Linked DNA regions of Cricetulus griseus. The protein of the gene in region 1 purifies or fractionates together with the protein of each later gene. This does not show direct contact. Links are inferred from orthologs where the notes say so. Each region holds a gene or a part of one and is shown in the gene's direction. Other genes may lie near its edges.

Region 1 (3,916 bases):
AACTTTTTAATCGATGCTTCACTGTGAAATGGCCAGTGTGCTCTCTGTAGGTAATATGTGCTGTCAACATATGTACATAGGTTGAAATATTACAGATATTTTTGTCCCAGCTTATTATTCTGGCTTCACAATAAGCCACATGAAAGTCATGTACAAGAACACTAAGGATTAAGGAACGTTGTTTCCTTCGGAGATTGCTGGCAAAATTTTAAAATTAAAAAACACCCACCCTCCGTTAAAACAACCTAGTAAATGGGTAGTAATATACTTGACTGTTAGGTTCCTACCGATTTGGATTGGCAGTTTTCAGAGCTGTTGAGTATCTGTAAATGTTTGTGGCTTTAGTTCCCGTTTCGTAGGAAATGGTGCCACCGTATTAGGTAGATGGGCTATGTGTCTCATCTGAAAATATTAAACTCCATCCCCCCCGCCCCGAGACTACAGTGGTAGCAAAAATAAGCCAGAGATGTAATGTGTATTTAAATACCCAGTTGAGCTGGCTGTTGGTTCTTAAATTAGATTCCATGCTCCGGCTAGAATCAACATGGTTTAAATATTAAAAACTTCATAATTCATAAGGCCAACCCCACCTCTTCCTCACGTACAGCGACGGAAGGTAGAAATATCTGTGAAAACTTGTAGCTACTTAAATACCGTAGGGGGAAATATGCCTAGGTTGGTATGCAAGGACTTGAAAAAATGCTTGACATTACGCTTTTAGCCAGGCCATAAGGGATCTGCTAAGGGATAGATAGATCACTGCTGAAAACACAGAAATGAGAGCTGCTTTTACATTTGTTACCGAACCGCCCCTTGTTTTCCTCCAAAGTACATTTTGTATACTTAAAAATACACACTCATTGGACAAGACTGGGAACCTCAGCTCCCCCACCTTCTGTCTTCAGCTTTCGACTTTCAGGTCCTTGCACAACACCTAAGACGTGCGATACTTTTTTTTTTTCCACTCTAATCCTGGCAGAGAACAGTTCGGAGAGATCTCCCTTCGCGTCTCCACCCTGATCCCCCTCTTCCTAGATTCCACCCGCTGTCTCTTTCCCTCCGCCCTGAGCTCCGCGGGCCCAATCTGTCAGAGAAGTTGTGTACAAACTGCGCCCCTGCTCTGCGCGCGAAGCTCATGGCCCGCGAGGGGTGCGGTCGGCCCGTCGGAGGCGGGACCTCGTGGGACTTCCTTTCCATTGGCTAGCCGCTGGCCCTGGGGCCTTGCTATTGGCCACGACGCTGCCAGTCGGGTGAGCTGGTCCTGCCTCCCTGGAGTTGGGTGAAATAGAGGCGGGCGTCAAGTGTCAGTAGTCGCGGGGCAGGTACGCGCGCTTGCAGCTTGCTTGGTGGAGCTCGGAGGTGGCGGGAGAGGGTTCCGGCGAGCGCTGGGGCGGGGCGGGAGAAAGTGGCGGCTGGAGGACCTCGGCGGTGACGCGTGGCCGAGCCCAGGAGTCCCGATCTACGTGCCCGCCTTCGTGAGCCGCTGGCCGCCGGCCTAGGGGTCCCCCCCGCAGCCGCCCCGCGCCGAGTCCGCAGTCCGGCGCCAGCCCGGGCGAGGTGGGAATCGCGATCACCCGGTGATCCACGCCCGTAGACCCCCCGACCGCCCATGGCCACGCGGGTGCTGACCATGGGCGCCCGCCTGGGACCCGTGTCCCAGCCACCGGCCACACAGGACGAGCCGGTGTTCGCGCAGCTCAAGCCGGTGCTGGGCGCTGCGAACCCGGCCCGCGACGCGGCGCTCTTCCCCGGCGACGATCTCAAACACGCGCACCACCACCCGCCTGCGCAGCCCGCGCCGCCGCCGGCCGCCGGCCCGCGGCTGCCCTCGGAGGAGCTGGTCCAGGTAAGCAGAGCGGCCGGCCTCCCTCCCCCGGCTCGGGCGTGTCCCGCCACTGCGAGGCGCGGGCGACAGGGGCCGCTCCAGGCTGGGACGCGCGGGAGCCGGTGCCCGGGTGGGCAGCCCCGCCCTGCGCTTCCAGACGGGGCGCCGGGGAGTGGATGGGGGAGCGGAGGGCCCGGGGCATCGCCCACCCCGATCTGCCCAGAGGAGGCTGAACACAGCCGCGCGCTCACGCGCACCTTGTCTGTTTTCTTGCGTGGGAATGAAAGCTTATATCCACGCTCAACTTAAATTGCGTCACCTTGACCACTCTCTCCGGATGGTCCTGGCCTAGGAAGTCCACCTGCCTGCGTCCTTCGGGGATGTGGAAATTGCAGATGGAGTCCTGGGGTTCCATACCCCTGTAGCTCACCCTAGAATGGGCTGTAAGGCCCCGTTTGGGAAACTAGGGTCAGAAGATCTAAGGTTGTATTAGAACACTGCTTTTTTCCTAAAAAAGGAACACGCGTACAAAAAGGCCACGGGTGTTGTTTTCTTCATGTGCGCGTAAATTTCCTCCCGGAGTCGCGTTGAAAGCTGGCAGTTGGCTTTTACACTTGCCCAGCAGCCGAATTAGAGCAAGCGCCTGTTTCTTTCGCCCACGCACGGGAGTCATATAGCCCAAGAAAAAAAAAAAAAAAACTTCCCGGGACTTTTAGCTACTCCCAAAGAAAAAAAAAATTGGAAACAGACCCACATGCAAACAGCTGGAAGAGCTAAAATCAGAAACCACTAACCGCCGCGGGAGCGCAGTGCACGAAAGGGTTTAGTTTGGTTTATTTCAAGAGGCTTGGTTTAATAGCCTCTTGCCGTATTGTGTATTTGCACCCAGCACCTACTTCGCGGGGTCTGCCAGTGTCGTCGTGCTTTGAGAGGACAGTGGCATTTGTCAGATGTGACTCACATGGCCAGAGCATGAATCTTTATTTTTAAGTCGTGCATATCCGGGAAATCCCGTCCGTCGTCGTCCACAACCAGATCTTAATGATCTGAGGTCCGAGATGAAATTCTTTTGAAATTTAGGAGCAAAAATAGGACTCCTGTTTACCAACTGAGGTGCAGTGGTTTCTTATTCTGTGAACTATTTCATTTAGTTGGGTTTTGTCCTTTTTCTGAGCTGCTCTTCAATGTCAAGAGGAATTGAGAGGAAAAATTAAGCTTTTATATGTTGGGAGAGAATTGCTGGGAAGACAGGCAGGTCGGAAGCTGCATTGTCTATTTCTTAAACAATCAGGGCCTGGGGGATACTTGGTTGTTTCACTTTGGCAGTTTTCTCTCGGGAGATAGCAGTAGGGTGAGGGATGACTGCGCTTTTTACAGAGGAAGGGGGAATGTAGCATTGGCCCACGGAGAGGACATGATAAATGTTTTGCTGATGAGTGTGCTGGCAATCGAGCAGCCTCTCCCCACCCACGGGCGTCCTAGCACCAGTCTACCAAGGGAATGATTTTCTCCTTGATAATTAAAGATCTGTTTTAGATAGGGAAATGAATAGGAACATTTCATTATTACATTAACCAATTACCGAATCTGCTGGTTAAAATCAACATTTACATCAAGCGTTGAACCTGTAATTGTTTTGTTTTAGCGGATACAAGGGTTTGCTTCAAACATTGGATTTTTTTTTTTTTTTTTTTTTGTTAATCAAAAGGCACTGAAATGGCCAGAGAACATTTCATGTTAGGCCTGAGATACCTAACTCTACCCACATAAATATTATTTTTTTAAGGTTTGCAAAGGTTTTAGTTTTCAAATGAAACATGTTAAATGTAATGGGTATGAACAGAAGTGGGGCAGTTTGGGTCATACTCTGATACTGTACTTAGATTGCAGAATTATCTTTCTTGGGGTGAGACTTGATTGCGTTGGAAAGGAAGATGTTTTGTCCTTGCCCCCACCCCCTTGCCTCTTTCACTTTTGTCTGCCGATGATTTGGGGAGTGATTTTACTAAAGACATGCCATACAGACTTTTGGTTAACCAATAATTACACAATTGACAAAATAAAACTCTGTGTTTATAAGCAGCTCTAGGA
Region 2 (3,816 bases), on another chromosome or scaffold:
GCCATAGAATGAAACCTTTTAGAAAAAAGAAAGCATAGAGATTCCTATTTGTAATTTACTTGGGGTTTTTAATTTGTTTGTTCATTTGTTTTTAACAGGATATTTTAAAACAAGCTACTGAAGATCGATTAACAAGTGCAAAGGAGTTACCCTACTTTGAAGGTGATTTCTGGCCCAATGTTCTGGAAGAGAGCATTAAAGAACTTGAACAGGAAGAGGAAGAGAGAAAACGGGAAGAAAACACTAGCAATGAGAGTACTGATGTAAGGGCTCTTTCTCTCTGCAGTGTCTACCTTGATGTCTAATTTGCTTGTTTGTTTTTTCAAGACAGGTCTTCTCAGGCCAGGTAGTACTGGTACACGCCTTTAATCAAAGCACTTGGGTGGCAGAGGCAGGTGGTTCAAGGCTTGCCTGGTCTATAGGTCTGCGATGCTGGGATGACAGGCATACACCATCACTGCTGGTCTAGGAGTTTATACTTTCAACTTAGTGTTTTGCACAAATTTTACTCTCAGGAAGTGCAAAGTCAGCCTGAGCCACATAGTTCATGACCCACCTTGGCTGTATAGCAGACCCTACCTAGACGTTGAAACTCCTGAAAAACTATACAACAAAAATACCAAACCAGGGTCGGGTGATGGTGGCGCACGCCTTTAATCCCAGCACTCAGGAGGCAGAGGCTCTGTGAGTTCAAGACCAGCCTGGTCTACAAGAGCTAGTTCCAGGACAGCCTCCAAAGCCACAGAGAAACCCTGTCAAACCCCCCCCCAAAAAAAAAAAAAAAAAAAATCATATAGTGGTTAAGAGCACTGCTTGCTCTTCTAAAGGTCCTGAGTTCAATTCCCAGCAACCATCACAACCATCTGTAATGAGATTTGGTGCCCTCTTGTGGCCTGCAGGCATATATGCAGGCCGAACACTGTACACATAATAAATAAATCTTTAAAAAAAAAAAAAAAAAAAACGAACCAGACAAATTATGACTAGTGCAGGCTTTATAGACTGCATATCCTCTCTGGTGTATTTTTTCAGAAGTGCTAGGGATCACACCCAGACTGACATGATACTAAACAGGTTCTCTGCCACTGAGATGCAGTATCCAAATAGCCTGTCTCTGCTTTTTAAGCCATCTTTTAAAATGTAAGATTCTCACTTAACCATATAAAAGCAGGCCAGGAACTGTCTTAACTTGTCTCCTTTAAAAAACTTGGTTTCGTACCCTAGTCAGTTATTGAACACTTCTAGGCTGTTTTCTGGGTTTCAACTTTCAAGTCAGGGCTGGCTGGGCATGGTGATACGGACCTTTTTGTTCACCATTCAAGAGACAAAGGCAGAAAGGTTTATGTGGATTCTAAGGCCAGACCTCTGCATAGCAAACCATGTCCAGAAAAGTAGTAGGTAAAATGGCTCTGGGTAAAGGCCCTTACCTAGTTCACTCTTTGGACCTATATTGTTGAAGCAGAGAACTGGCTCCCATGCATTGTTCTCTGACCTCCACACCTATGTGCTGTGGTATTCACACATAAATACACAAACACGCAAGCACCGTAGGTGAAGTTAAGTCTCTCTATCATAATACAGAGGCTCTTAAGCCAAGCATGGCAGTTACCTGCCTGTAATCTCGGTATTTGGGTGGTAGAGACAGGAGGGTCAGATTAAAGGTAAGCTGAATTTCACAATATGTAAGTTTCTGTTTCCTGTTTCTTTTTTTTCCCCCTGTCAATTTACCAAAAATCACCCCCCAGACAGGGTTTTTCCTTTTAGCCCTGGACTCGCTCTGTATACCAGACTGGCCCCCCAATGCCTTCCTCTGCCTCCCAAGTGCTGGGATTAATGGAGCACACCTTTGGTTAAATTCATTCATAGGTGGTGGGTGAAAGAGGAAACCAAAGCCTACTTGCTGGTTCCCTCTTCCATGCCTCGTGGCTTTCATTGTTCACCAACCATGGTGCCACTCATTCTTCACTCCTGTCCCAAATCTGGGACACATCAGTCAGCACTTCTGCAAATTGAGGCTTTTCATTTATTTATGTTTTGTTTTGCTTCTGGACAGTTCTCTCTGTAGGTATGGCTGACCTGGAACTTACTCTGTAGACCAGGCTGGCTTCGAACTCACAGAGATCCACCTGCCTCTGCCTCCCAGGTGCTGGGATTAAAGGTGTGTGCTGCCACTACCCATTAAATGAAGGTTGGGGTCTTTACTAGAAGGCAGTTAGGAGAGGTGGCTCAGTACTCATTGAGCACTTGATGCGCTTTCAGAGGCCCCCAGTCCATTCTTTTCTCTGCACCCACAGCAGAAAGCTCATAACTGTCTATCACTCCAGTTTTGTAATCAGACAGCCTTGGAAAGCGCCTATCCATGGTTGACACACATTCATACAGCTACATATATATACATAAGGAACCTACACATGGCTGGTCACAAACATTCATACAGCTATACACACACACACAAAAAGAAAAGACTAGTTAAGCATTAGTTTGGGTGTTTAAAAAAAAAGTGGATGTGATCAGCTAGAGAAATATCAGCTAAAATAGTAATACCTGTTTCAAAGAGTCTCTTACCTTCAATCTTATTTCCAGATCCATCCTAACTATTAAACATTTTCATATCTCCTTTATGCTGCCCTACAGGTAACAAAAGGAGATAGCAAAAATGCTAAGAAGAAGAATAACAAGAAAACCAGCAAAAACAAGAGCAGCCTGAGTAGGGGCAATAAGAAGAAGCCTGGTATGCCCAATGTGTCTAATGACCTGTCTCAGAAACTGTATGCCACCATGGAAAAGCATAAAGAGGTAAGAGACGCCCTTCAGGGTTAGAAGGGTGTGTGTGGTAGGCCATATTCTAAATTGCCCACCCCAACTGACACTATAATGAGAACTCCAGGTTGCTGAATATGAGGAGGGCAGACGTGGTTTGAGGGCTGACTAGAATGAAAGGAGTGTGTATAGACTTTGGTTGGTTGTGAAACAGAAAATGTGTTAACTATGGCTGATACCCATCCCCTCAGCCATGCCACTGACAAGAAAGGTCCTGCATTCTGGTAGATACCACTATCAGAATACATTCCTAATAACCTGGCCCAATTTTGAGAGTAAATTACTACGTTTAAAAGCTAATGGTAATTGATTTGATTTAAATTGTCTAATCTAGGAGCTAGATCCTCAGGCTCTGGGTGTGCGTTAGAAATTCATGACTTGATCTTTGCAATGGGATAACAGAAGCAAAATGTCAACTGTAATATATTGTAGGTCTTTATGCCAATTTATATAGATTCTTTTTTTTTTTTTTTTTTTTTTTTTGAGACAGGGAAACCCTGTGAAACAGTCCTGGTTGTCCTGGAACTCACTCTGTGGACCAGGCTTGCCTTGAACTCATAGAGATCCATTTGCCTTCCAAGTGTTGGGATTAAAGGCATGCGCCACCACCATCCTGCAATTTATACCTTAAAACCTCCAAAACTGAGCCTGGAGGTGGTGACGCACGCCTTTGATGCCAGCACTCAGGGAGGCAGAGGCAGGTGGATCTCTGTGAGTTCAAGACCAGCAAGATCTACAAGAGCTAGTTCCAGGACAGCCTCCTAAGCCATAGAGAAACCCTGTCTCCAAAAATGAATGAATGAATCAATCAATCAATCAATCCTCCAAAACTAGTCTAGAGACGAGACAGGGAGGCCTGACGGTACATCTTCAGACATGGAGTACAAGGCACACAAGTGCAGGCAAAGCTCTCATGCACATATATAAAGTACACACACACACACCTTTTAAATCAATAACTGAAAAGGCTGTGTAGACTCTCTGTGCCATTTGCTA

Evidence for each region.
Region 2: the proteins of Klf5 (region 1) and Ep300 purify together in Homo sapiens (affinity purification with western blotting; 3 studies listed by BioGRID). This does not show direct contact. The link is inferred for Cricetulus griseus from reciprocal best matches to the Homo sapiens genes KLF5 and EP300.

What each region holds. Positions count from the first base shown.
Region 1 is NW_023276807.1:251,130,550-251,134,465, forward strand, and holds the start of Klf5 (Krueppel-like factor 5), read left to right. Parts: upstream 1-1,328; 5' UTR 1,329-1,609; coding exon 1,610-1,846; intron 1,847-2,787; exon of another isoform or gene 2,788-2,938; intron 2,939-3,916. UniProt on the Homo sapiens protein: Transcription factor that binds to GC box promoter elements. Activates the transcription of these genes.
Region 2 is NC_048595.1:378,790,312-378,794,127, forward strand, and holds part of Ep300 (histone acetyltransferase p300), read left to right. Parts: intron 1-98; coding exon 99-263; intron 264-2,634; coding exon 2,635-2,796; intron 2,797-3,816. UniProt on the Homo sapiens protein: Functions as a histone acetyltransferase and regulates transcription via chromatin remodeling. Acetylates all four core histones in nucleosomes. Histone acetylation gives an epigenetic tag for transcriptional activation.